3 linked regions of the Tribolium castaneum genome follow. The protein of the gene in region 1 purifies or fractionates together with the protein of each later gene. This does not show direct contact. Links are inferred from orthologs where the notes say so. Each region holds a gene or a part of one and is shown in the gene's direction. Other genes may lie near its edges.

The links.
Region 2: the proteins of btz (region 1) and regulator of nonsense transcripts 1 purify together in Homo sapiens (co-immunoprecipitation; 5 studies listed by BioGRID and IntAct, with this or other methods). This does not show direct contact. The link is inferred for Tribolium castaneum from reciprocal best matches to the Homo sapiens genes CASC3 and UPF1.
Region 3: the proteins of btz (region 1) and Upf2 fractionate together in Homo sapiens (co-fractionation; 3 studies listed by BioGRID and IntAct). This does not show direct contact. The link is inferred for Tribolium castaneum from reciprocal best matches to the Homo sapiens genes CASC3 and UPF2.

Annotation. Positions count from the first base shown.
Region 1 is NC_087396.1:15,136,017-15,140,108, forward strand, and holds the start of btz (protein CASC3), read left to right. Parts: upstream 1-1,281; 5' UTR 1,282-1,360; coding exon 1,361-1,420; intron 1,421-1,574; coding exon 1,575-1,864; intron 1,865-1,916; coding exon 1,917-2,120; intron 2,121-2,178; coding exon 2,179-2,852; intron 2,853-4,092. UniProt on the Homo sapiens protein: Required for pre-mRNA splicing as component of the spliceosome. Core component of the splicing-dependent multiprotein exon junction complex (EJC) deposited at splice junctions on mRNAs.
Region 2 is NC_087397.1:527,901-531,936, forward strand, and holds the start of regulator of nonsense transcripts 1, read left to right. Parts: upstream 1-1,175; 5' UTR 1,176-1,508; coding exon 1,509-1,688; intron 1,689-1,740; coding exon 1,741-1,968; intron 1,969-2,012; coding exon 2,013-2,192; intron 2,193-2,238; coding exon 2,239-2,451; intron 2,452-2,503; coding exon 2,504-2,895; intron 2,896-3,306; coding exon 3,307-4,036. Other genes in the region: sodium channel protein Nach, read right to left, coding at 1-95, 146-265. UniProt on the Homo sapiens protein: RNA-dependent helicase required for nonsense-mediated decay (NMD) of aberrant mRNAs containing premature stop codons and modulates the expression level of normal mRNAs.
Region 3 is NC_087394.1:28,282,408-28,286,615, forward strand, and holds the start of Upf2 (regulator of nonsense transcripts 2), read left to right. Parts: upstream 1-1,337; 5' UTR 1,338-1,427; coding exon 1,428-2,094; intron 2,095-2,198; coding exon 2,199-2,548; intron 2,549-2,597; coding exon 2,598-2,823; intron 2,824-4,208. Other genes in the region: uncharacterized protein Zcchc7, read right to left, coding at 1-840. UniProt on the Homo sapiens protein: Involved in nonsense-mediated decay (NMD) of mRNAs containing premature stop codons by associating with the nuclear exon junction complex (EJC).

The DNA of each region.
Region 1 (4,092 bases):
ACATCAATGTAAAAAACAATCGCATAACTTTCATTTTTTGGGCAAAAAGTCTCCAAATGCATTCCCACCAAGTTGTTACTTTGGTCGATCATTGGAGCATTAACCCTTTTTCCACAAAACTCGTTCCTGCTTGAAATGTAACAAGAAACATGCTTCTGTTTGATGAAACCCGTACAGTCCTCGTGTTGATAAACACGAACATCAAAACTGAGCAATTTGTTGAATTTTTGCCTTTGTGCCAACGGGAGATCCACTCTCCTATCCCAAGTAAAGCTCTGTACAAATCGATCAAGTTTCGCAATTTCAAATGCCTTATCGTCAGTTGCATTAAAATGTAGCAAAACCAAACCAAAATTAGAAAAAATGACATTATTGACCCTTTTTGTCACTCCCCCGAAAGACCACCATGACGACCCTAATCTCAGAACGCCCAAATTTTCAACACAGTCATCAACAGCTAGGGCCCAGTTTCGCGCAATAACACCAACAGCACATTTGAAAAATCCTTCTTTTGCATCAATATATCGCTTTCCGAGAAGAGCGGCAATTGCTGGATTCTCTGATTCCTTACACTTTGCAAGAGTGAAGGTTTGGCTAAGAGAACTAATAGATCTTTTGTTAAGGGCATCAAGTTCAAATTCATATTCTATGTATTCGCGATCGCGTTTGTCGTAAATATTTAGAGTTTTATTTGCTAAATAACAGCATAGAGCGTCACATCTTTCCGAGGCAGGCCCAAAGGCCCCAAAGGCAAACGCTAAGTAAAGCGCGACCATTACCACGAAGAATGGGACTGCTACCATCAAAATAAGGTGAAGAACAGTTTGAAATGAGCTTTTCTACAACAGTTAAGTGGGTTATTGGAACATTTTCTATAAAGTTTTACCATGATTAACGCTAAATTATGTCAAAATTTTTGAATTTTAATTTATTTTTTTTAATTTCACAAGTTGTCTCTGGTGCGATCTATGCAACTAATATAACTCAAATTGTATAAAAAAAATTTTAACTAAAAAACTATAGATGACGTTTCAATCGACTGCTTATATTAGTTTGCGGCCTTTTGGACAATTTTATCAACAAGGGCGTTTTTATTTAAATTTTACTTATAAAAGTATAGGCAACTAGTTATTCAGTTGCCACCAAAAGTTGGTGCTTCTGTGCTTAACCTAACCTCTGAAACCTTGTGACAAGGAGTTGCTAGTTGGCACCAACTTGTTTCTCTCTGTTTCTTTTCCTTTCACGTCGTTCCATTGAGCATGAAAAGGACCAGAAACGAGACGTAAGTCTTGAATTTGTCACTGGCCATCGAATCTTGCCAATCCGGCCAAGATAAAGATATTTGTAAAACAACAAAAAGATGGAAGAAACCGTTGCTGTGCCAGCGACAGCCCCCCAAACGGTGGAAAACATATCACAGGTGAGCCCAATTGCTCCTTACGTTGCTCCTTCGTTCCGGAAAAGAGAAAGATTTGAGAAAAAATTAACAAACCAGGTCACAAGTTCAGAACGAAGTGGAGCACAACCGAGGCGATCTCGCGTGAATTCTTCTCAGTTTAAGAATGATTTTGCAGGAAAAGACACGAATTGACGCTGAGGAGAGCCACAAGTCCCCTAACGAGTCGGAGTATGACAGTGCAGGGAGTTACAGTGATGAAGAGGAGGATAAAGCGAGGTCGAGGAATTCCAGGGAGCACACTGATTCGGAAACTGAAGGCAGTGTAGGGCTGGAGCGGGAATCTGGCGACGGACAGGAGAGTTTGCCTCTCAGGAAGGTGGACGATGATGAGGACAAGAAAAACCCCCAGTACATACCCAAAAGGGGCACTTTTTACGAACACGATGACCGGACAGCTGATGACGAGTGAGTGCGAATAATTACACAGTTCATGTAGTGTGACTGATTAATTGTTTAGGCAAACAGCTGATAATGTAGAATTGGAGAAGGAAAAAGAACAGAAGAAAAAAGTATGGCAGGATAAGAAGGAAAGGTGGAGTCATGATCGTTTTAACGACTCTGAGCAAGCCCCCAAGTCCAGGGCTGAACTTGTGGCCATCTATGGGTACGATATTAGGAACGAGGAAGGTCCCCCTCGAGCTCGAAGGCGCAGACGATACGGGTGAGTTCCCTCACTGTGTTAAAAATCGGTTTAATTTGTTGCGCATGCATTTCCAAAGACGTGGCCCTAACAAGTATACAAGAAACTGGGAAGACGAAGATGCCTACAACAAACCGCCACCTCTTATTCGTAAAAAGAAACCCCTCAGAAAGCCCAATCAAGGCGAAGACTTTCCGCCTCTAAACCGCTCAAGTAATCAAGAAGACCCGCAGGATAGCAGAGATTACGAAGAGAAAACAGACCAGTACCAAGCTGAAACAAACGGTAACACGAAAAATTCAGTATGCGAGTCTCCGCAGTCTCCGCCAGTCCCACCACAAGAATCCAACAGGATGCAGCAACGCGTCGGTTCTGGCCGTGTGGTTAAACCAAAACGCGAAATCAAGGATTCAGATTATAGGGGTTTTACTACAAAAACACGTCAAGTTAGGAATATGAAAACTGATCAAAAAGTCGTCCCGAAATCCTCGAAAAAAGACGATTTTATCCAGTCGCAAAATTTTACAAATAAAAATAACAACATACAAGAGCTAGAAAAGGATTTATCAAAATTGAACGTTCAGGATGGGGTGCATAAAGGGGGTAAACACGGGGGACAGAGACAAGGCAGCGTCCCACCAAGACTCCAATCGGAACAAAAGGGCTCCAAACGGTACAGTTCCATCAGACAGAGGTCGCTTCCAGAGTCGGCAACGCCGCCGTTCTCGCAGCACTCGAATTACTACTCAAATGGTAGGTTCAAATTATAACATCATCACTTAAATTTATTTTCAAGTATACGCACAATACAAATAATTTATGTTATGGTTATGATTTTGCGCTAAATGTTACTGGTCGATTTTGTTTGGTTTTTGATTTTTTTTTACACAAACACAAAGTACAACAGTAAGTGTTAAAAGAAAAAGAAAATATTTTTGGCCATGAAGTAGATTTTAAGTAATAAAGAATGATTATTATTGTTGATGGGAAATTTTTTTCTGAGTATTAGATTTTGATGAGATTTTTTAGTTTTCAGAATTTTTTTCTGAATTAAGTAAAGCAGTGAACGCATTTTAAAAGACTTTCTCCCCTAGAGTCTGAGTGAAAGAATGTACCCTGTAAAATAATATCAAAAATGCTTCTTAACACGGCTGTAAATCATTGCGGAAAATAGCTAAAATGTAATCCTTTTTTGCCCTCTTAATTATAGTCTTGAATATATTTTCTTAGGCAACCAATTCGCAATATATTCCTTTGGACATTACATTTGATAAAAAATAATTTTCATCTGGTAAGTAGATGGGTCCAGGACGACCTTAATTCGGATCTAAACTAGTAAATATTATAATTGATTAGTTTAACTCTGACTAAAACATTTTTGGATTATCATTAGACCCCTCAGTGGTTTGAGGCCACGCTGTACCTACTAAGCGCCCCCTGGCCCTTAATTAACATCAATTTTTCCCAACTGTAAAACTAGAGACAGGATATAGGTAGTTTGAAAGTGTTACAGTACAGTATAGTGAACAAAAAATTTCGGGCACTTAATTAACGGCATTAAAAAAAACGATGTGGTTTAGGCTTAATGAGACGAATGTTTTTAACACGAAGGTTTATGAAGATGAAATGTTGAAGATCTTTGATTTTTTGCTCGCGACGGTACTTACAGGAAACATTTTTTGATAGGTACTTCTGGACCGCGCCAACATTTTTTGGTTGAACAAATGAGCACTTACCACTTTTACGTGTGATTAATTTAGAAATTATGAGTGCAGTCACCATACGCAGTCAGTGTGGGAGCTCTTAACACTTTTGCATAAATCAGCAGCACAGTCTGAAAAACACTACATTGATATTACGTGTTTTATGTGCCTTATGACCCCCTTTAGCATTTTTCAATTACCCAAAACAGTTTCCACAGATTTTTCGTCTTATTTGTTGGATTTTCTCAAATCATTTTCGAAATGTCATCCGTCAAATTTAAAAGAACGTG
Region 2 (4,036 bases), on another chromosome or scaffold:
GTTTGCCAATTTAAGTAAGATGTGTCCACTGAAAAGGATATTTTTTGGTTTTGATACTGGTCTAGTGCGTTAAACATTAGCATAATCGATGCGGCCTGTGAATCTATTTTATTGTGGTAAAAATTTGACGATTTGTGGGATTTACCCAAGAAGTTAGGACACATATTGTCCAAAAAAATCTTTCAGTCCAGTGGAATCTCTTATCAGCTATGAAATGCAAGCCATGTAGAGACGTGTTTAAGAAATATTTTGTAACAATACTCATTGTAGTGTAGTTGGGAATTTGTAATCAATACTATTTATGAGTTGGGTCATAATGCAGTAAAACTTTAATAAATTATTAATAGATGTGTTGAATTGTCGCTGTACAAAAACCTAATAAAAAGTTAACAGTTTTCAAACTATCAATTATATCATCGTAATATTTATTATGTATCTGTGGGAAACCAGAATGATACGTGAGCATTTAAGTAACCGCAAGCTACTTAAACATGAGAAGAATTAAAAAATAAGGAGTGCCAGTTGTAATAAAGAGCATGTGTGATTTCTATTAATTTAATAAAATACAGTCATTTCTTGATAATGTTTTTATTGAGTCCACGTTCTATTTTTATGGATAAAGTTTGTAATAGCAATATCAAATTCAATAATCATAAATCATAATAATTTCGCCATTTTTCGTCCATTTTTAATTTAATAATTAGGTAGGCAAAACCAAATGCTCAGTTGTTTTATTGGTCATCTACTCAATAAACTTATTACGTTTTTTAGTTTTATTTATTTCGACAAAAACATTCGTAAATTTACGTTCTTTTAAAACGAACATCATTTTATGTTTTTGACTTATTACCGATAAAATTTCACTGAAAAATCGGCTGTTTTTGAAAAATGTGTTTTTTTTATTTTGATATGCCTCTTTTTTGCAGTCATGTGTTGAATGTTGAATAAAAACCGAAAAATCAATAAACTTTATGCTATAATTTTATAATAAAAATAATGTTTAAATGTAAAATTTACAAAAAAGTGAAAAATCAAATCATAAAGTGACGCAGCCTTAGCCACTTCTACAATCAAACATATGCTTATCTCTCTTTAACTTAAAAGATTGCGATACGTGTCTCACTCCGATAAGATGGTAACCACAATGATAACACCGTGCCAACCAACGAAAAAAAGCTTAGGGATTAAATTAGACAATAAGGTTGTGCAATAATCTATTTCCTAAACCACTTTTTAATTTTGAGGCCATAAAAAAGATCAGTGCGCTAAAAACTGAAAAAGATAGCACGAGTGTTTAAGTTTCCCGCTCCGTCAATTATGCTTCGGAAAGAGAAATGACGATAAAAAAACAAATGATTAATCAGGAAAATATGGCGCTTGCCAGGAGAAAAATGTAGAAATTTTAAAGTAACCATAGTCGAGTTGTCATCAATTGAAGTGTTAAAAGTGTTTCATCAGTAAACGTGAATAAACCCGTGCTTCAATTCGTTCGCGACGAAATCTCCAAGATGAGTGTCGACGCATACGGCCCCAGTTCGCAAACTCTCACGTTTTTAGAGACCGAAGAAAACGACTTGATCGGGGCTGACACCCAAGGATCCGAATGCGAATTCACCGATTTCACAATTCCATCGCAAACGCAAGCCTCGCAGCACGACCACGCGGGCCCCAAAGTTTCCGGTGTACAGGTTAGTGCAAGGTCGCCCCCTGGTTCAGTGTCGTATGACGTTGTTGTTTTAGCTCAACAACAACATCAACAACAAAATCGCCAATGCGACGAGTGCTTTAGGGGAACTGCAATTCGAGGAAGAGGATGAGGAGTATTTCAACAGCAAGGAGCTCCCGAACTACGCGTGCAAGTACTGCGGCATTCATGAGCCGAATTGCGTTGTCATGTGCAACTGCTGCAAAAAGTGGTTTTGTAACGGGAGAGGAAACACCTCAGGAAGCCACATAATCAACCATTTGGTGAGGAATTTCAACTTGGAAACTGTTTTTTGATTGGGGTTTAGGTCCGAGCCAAACACAAGGAAGTGACCTTACACAAGGACGGCCCTTTGGGCGAGACAATCCTTGAATGTTACAGTTGTGGCGTCCGCAATGTTTTTGTTTTGGGGTTCATTCCTGCCAAAGCTGACTCTGTTGTGGTGCTACTTTGCCGCCAACCTTGTGCCGCCCAAAACTCACTTAAAGTAAGTCATTGCTTTTAAAATAGGACAGTTTTCAAGCTTTTAATAGGACATGAACTGGGATCAAGACCAATGGAAACCACTCATTACCGACCGGTGTTTTCTCACATGGCTTGTAAAAATACCATCAGAACAGGAACAACTGCGAGCGCGCCAAATCTCAGCCCAACAAATCAACAAACTTGAAGAACTTTGGAAAGATAATGTTGATGCCACGTTCCAGGATTTGGAACGGCCAGGAGTTGACGAAGAACCGCAACAAGTTAGTCTTGTTTGCACAGTTCTAACGTATTTATTATAATTTTTTTTGGTAGGTTTTATTGCGATATGAGGACGGTTATCAGTACCAAAACATTTTTGGTCCTCTTGTTAAGCTTGAAGCTGATTATGATAAAAGATTGAAGGAGTCTCAGACTCAGGAAAATATTGAAGTTAGGTGGGATGTGGGTTTGAATAAGAAAACAATTGCGTATTTTACTCTTGCTAAAACTGACGGGGATATGAAATTAATGCACGGAGATGAGTTGAGACTTAGATACGTGGGAGAAATGCATAAATCATGGGCGGGGGTGGGACACGTTATCAAAGTTCCTGATAATTACGGAGAGGATATTGGCATTGAGTTGAAGAACGGAAATGGGGCTCCCACCGATTGTAACAGCAACTTTGTGGTGGATTTCATTTGGAAAAGTACCAGTTTTGACAGGTAAATTTCGTTGTTGTGATAGAAACAGAAATAATCACGTTAATCTCTTTATGTATCACATTTTTTATTTATTTTTTTAATTAATGTTTTACTGTTAGTAGTCAAACGTTGAAAGTACCATTGTTATAAACTTTCACATTAAATATAAGTATAATATTACAATCAAACTTTATTTTAAAAATCACAGTAATTAAAAAAAAAGCATGAGAGAAGTGACGCATTTTCACTTCTTATTTCCGAATGTTAAAAAAATCTTTGTAAGATGTTAATTTTAAGCGTTGATATTTCAAGCTATATTAATGTGGTAATTTTTTTATAAGGTTTCTAAGAATATTTAATTAAAAAAATAATTATGTGAAAACAAGTTTTCACGTCGTTTTTTTCTGAGCTCGCCTTTATTGTTAATTGCAGGATGCAACTCGCCTTGCGAAAATTCGCCGTTGACGATACATCCGTTTCCGCCTACATCTACCACCGCCTCCTCGGCCACGAGGTCGAAGAGGTCCTTTTCCGTTGTCACCTCCCTAAACATTTTTCGGCACCTAATCTTCCCGACTTGAACCGTTCGCAAGTCTACGCCGTCAAACATGCCCTCCAGCGTCCACTCTCCCTCATCCAAGGTCCTCCCGGAACGGGAAAAACCGTAACTTCCGCCACCATCGTCTATCAATTGGTGAAACAAAACGGCGGTCCAGTCCTAGTCTGTGCTCCCAGTAATACGGCAGTTGACCAACTTACCGAAAAAATTCACAAAACTAATCTAAAAGTTGTAAGATTGTGTGCGAAATCACGCGAAGCGATTGATTCGCCTGTGAGTTTTCTTGCATTGCATAATCAGATACGTAAAATGGAAGCCAATACTGAACTCCAGAAGTTGCAACAGTTGAAAGATGAGACTGGAGAGTTGAGTTCAGTTGATGAGAAACGATACAGAATGTTGAAAAAATTGGCTGAGAAAGAATTACTCGAAGCTGCCGATGTTATTTGTTGTACTTGTGTGGGGGCAGGTGATCCACGATTGGTTCGTTTGAAATTTCATTCGATTCTGATTGATGAAAGTATGCAAGCGACTGAACCCGAATGTATGGTACCGGTGGTACTAGGAGTGAAACAATTGATTTTGGTTGGTGATCATTGTCAG
Region 3 (4,208 bases), on another chromosome or scaffold:
ACTACTCTCAGTTTCGCACGTCTCGTTAGGGTTTGCAGGTTTAACAAAGTCGCCACTCTTGAAATCTGATCCGTGCAAACTGAAGTTGAAATTTTTGTGATTTAATTCAACTCCAGAACTGTTGACGAAATCATTCGAGGCTGAATCGGGCGTACTTAACAATTCTTTACGCTCGCGGTGGGCCTTTTTTGTTGGTGAATCGGAAACGCTCGAGTTATCCGATGCAACTGACGCAGTTTCGTTATTTTTTTGTTGTGAGTTTTTCGGAGACTCGGTTTCTTCGTCAAGGTTTATTACCTCAACAGGTGTCTCCACTGGCTCAACAAATACAACATCGTCATTTGACGACTTGTTTTCACTAATATCTTTCTTATTATCATCGTCTGAATCACAAACAGACAAAACCGGCCAATTTTCAGGAATTAACACACAGCTATCCTCCTCGTTCTCACTATCGGACAATGTAATGACCTTGTCACAATTACTTGGTTCTTGGTTTCCCGGTACGACACCTGGTGTTTGTTTCGGAGGTTCCTTCTGAGAATTGGCCAGTTTCTCCAATTTCTTCTGCTTCCTTTTGTAGTTTTTCCAGCGCGCCTTATTACGATTTTTCTTAGGAGTTACACAAACTATCGGACTTTGAGGAGTCAAAACAACTAGTTGGTTGATTGATATATTATCAGGCCTGTGGCGCCTGTTGCAACTTTTTGAGTAAAACCCTGGATGGGACTGGTCATTATCCTTGAAAGTTGGTGGTCTTGTGTTTTGTTTTGCATGCACACTTTTTTGGAATTTGCTGCCAGGGGTCCAAGGGCCGAAGTAACGGGCCTGATTTTTCATGTTTTCGGGGGCCAAAGGCGCGACTGGTGCAGACGGAAGGACTAAATCGCTTTCGGTATCAACCGAGTGGTAAACTTGACTATAAAGACGTGATTCGATTTCTTCAAGGTCCAAGTCATTCTGGAACAATACACGTAGATTGCTCAAATTGTAATAAGTTGAACAATACCATGGTTAGTTGTAAATCTACATTTTAAAAGTAACAGTACGAGAAAAAAATTGTAACTTGAACCAAAAATTAGTAACATTTGACAGCGAAAGCGAAACACACGTGGTTTTCGTCACCAACTTTGCGGAGGAAAACGCACTAGTGGGATACGATTTCGGACGCGAAATCCGAAAACAACTCACTTTACCTCCTGTACATTTGTCCGGGTTAAATCCGAATTATTGTCTTTAATTTTGATGATGTAAACACTTTCCGTTCGCTTGGAATTAACGATAAGATAACACGAAAGTTGATTGTGTAACTTGCATTGGCAACACTTATATCTATTGACGGTTGGGAATTTTCGCTTTTTCCCTAAATTGTTTTCTAATAATAATCATTTTAACAAGTTTTTTGCAAATAAAGCCCGTTTTGCGACATGACCGTGACCGAATCCTCGGAACACGACGGTGAGAAAGACGAGAACAGTGCCGAGGCCCCCAGCGAAGACGACAAAAACGTCCTAACCTCTTACATCCAAGAGGTGGAAGAGAGGTTTGTTTGCAAGCAAGAGCTGCGAAGTGCCAACCAAAATGCGGCAAATACGCGCCCCAGCGAGTCCCACTTCAGCAAGCTGGACTCCAGCCTCAAGAAGAACACGGCGTTTGTTAAGAAAATCAAAAACTTCTCTGCCAACCAAGTGGACACATACTTGAAAGACATGACGGGGCTGAACCTGTCCAAGTACATATCGGAGATTGCGGCTGCGATAGTCGATGCTAAATTGAAAATGACCGATGTGGGCGCAGCCGTAAAGATGTGCAGTGTTTTGCACCAGACTTACGCTGATTTCTCGCAACACTTGTTTGAGAACTGGCAGAAAACCCTGGCCTTTAAAGTGGGTGAGAAGATTCCAAATCCGAGTAAACTGAGGGTGGATTTAAGGTTTTATGCCGAGTTGGTGCAGGCTGGGGTGTTTAGCAATAAAAACGCGTTCACTTTGCTGGGGACCGTGATCACCACTTTGGTCAACATGGACAAGGACGAACACTACAATTGCTCAATAATCCTCAGCTTTTGCAAGCACTGCGGCGAAGATTACGCAGGTAATTTTGGTATTTTTCGCCCAATCAACTACTCGTATCCCCAGGCGGACCGCATATTAAACGCCAGTCAAGTCGATAAAAATGTTAATTTTTTCGAAATATAGGTCTGGTCCCTCGCAAGATGCGGGAATTGTCCGAAAAATTCGACATCCCCATCCCGAAGAGCACTTTCCTGCCGCCCGAGAAGCAGCAAAACGTGCGCACCTTGCTGAGGGATTACTACGTTTCGCTCAGTAAGCATCTCGTCAAAGACCACCAAGAGATCCAAAACTTCGAGAAGCAGAACATGAGGATACTCCAAACCAAAGGCGAGTTGAGTCAAGAACGAAAAGACAAGCTCGAGGCGCTTCAAACATCGTACGATAAATTATTAGCTTCGACACAAAGTTTTGCGGAAATTTTAGACGAAGATATGCCAACTTTGAAAAATCAGACTCTCATGAAAAATGATGAGGTGGCTTTAATTAATTGGGTGGGATAAAGAATTAACTGAGAATTTTTAGAGTATGATAGTGACAGGTGCGGGGCCCGATTTGGACGAAGCTGCGTTGGCTAATATCGAGAATGTTTGGTGCGATATTGAAACGCAGAGGTTTTACTGCGAGTTGCCGGAATTGCAAGCTTTTTTGCCGACTTCTTATATAAATAAACAGGCGCCTCCGCCCGAGGAGTCGGTCACTGAGGAGGTGCTGGATTCGGAAATACCAACTGAAGAACTGGAAGATGACGGTGGGTAAATTTGATAATTTATCTCAGAAATTTTTGTTTTGAGACATTGTCGTCTAGAAAAAACTGTCTTGAATGTTACCGCTTTTTTATCTTCAGTAAGAAAGAGTCCTAGAGATTAAAAAAAAAATTTGAATATATCCGTTCCGTTCAGAAAATAATGGTTGCAACCCCTCATATTAGGGACCGTTTAGAAACCGCTTATAATTTTCTATCCAATGAAAAAACGGCATTTTACGAGGCATAGTTTCTGAAAAACTACTAAGGATTTTCCAGGTTTTCTTGGACCAATCGATTTGCGCGAATCATTTATTAATTATTAATAGATTTGTCATAAAAAAAAATTACGCTGATGACGATACTGTTTGACGTTCTCTTATTTCGTCGTAATCGTCATCCGAAAGTTAAATAACTTTGAGATATTGATCACGAGTAGAAACCTGCATCAATTCATTCTAGTTTTTTATAAGGTTTACGTTGATCGATTCGTTGGAATCGGTACTTAAAAAAGTCAAAAATTTAGTTTTCTAAAACTTTTAACGCGTTTTTTTCAAAAACTATAAAAGTCCGACTAGAAAAAATTAAAAACCGTCAGTCTCTACTTTTAATTCTTTATCAAACAGTGAAAATCTGGAATCAGAGTCGATTTTATAAAAAAATATGACTTGAAAACTAACGGTTCCAGTGTTATGTAAGCGAATTATGTTGACCTACTAAGAAACTGTCGGCCTCAAAATACATGTCGGAAACTGCATATTTGAAAATTAAAATTCCTCCACGATTTTTACAATCTTTAATGAATTCTACTTTCATACATTCAAAAACTTCAATTTTTTACGCTTAACCAACAAATTAATGATTCCTATGCGAAGAACTGCCGAGATATCGACCGTTGATATTTTTGAAATTAAATATTTTCTTTATTAAAAAAAAATATATAATTCCTTTGGGCTACGGATCCCCGGATTATTTTTATAAAGTTATAAGTTTCATCAATTCCGGGGTGCTCCGAGTGGTTTCCGAAAAACACGGTGATATTATGTTTTTAATGTCTCAGCGCCCCAGAAATGCTCAAATATTCATCGCAGAGCATTTTCACCGAGTTTCACTAATCGCATTGTGTTGAAGACGTCATTTTACGATTGGAAAATTTATTCATGTAGTAAAATCGTAAATGCTAATGAAATAAATTCTTGAAATTTTCACACTTCGACTAATTGATAAAAGAACCATTCCCAAATTTTTTTTGTAATTAATAAAGTCTTAGCAGTTTTATAAAGTTTTTATAATAAGTGGTATCACAATAACAAATTTTTACTTTATTGGTTAAACAATCGGCAATTTTTTATTTAAACACAAACCAGACGCGTGATTTATTAGAAGATGGT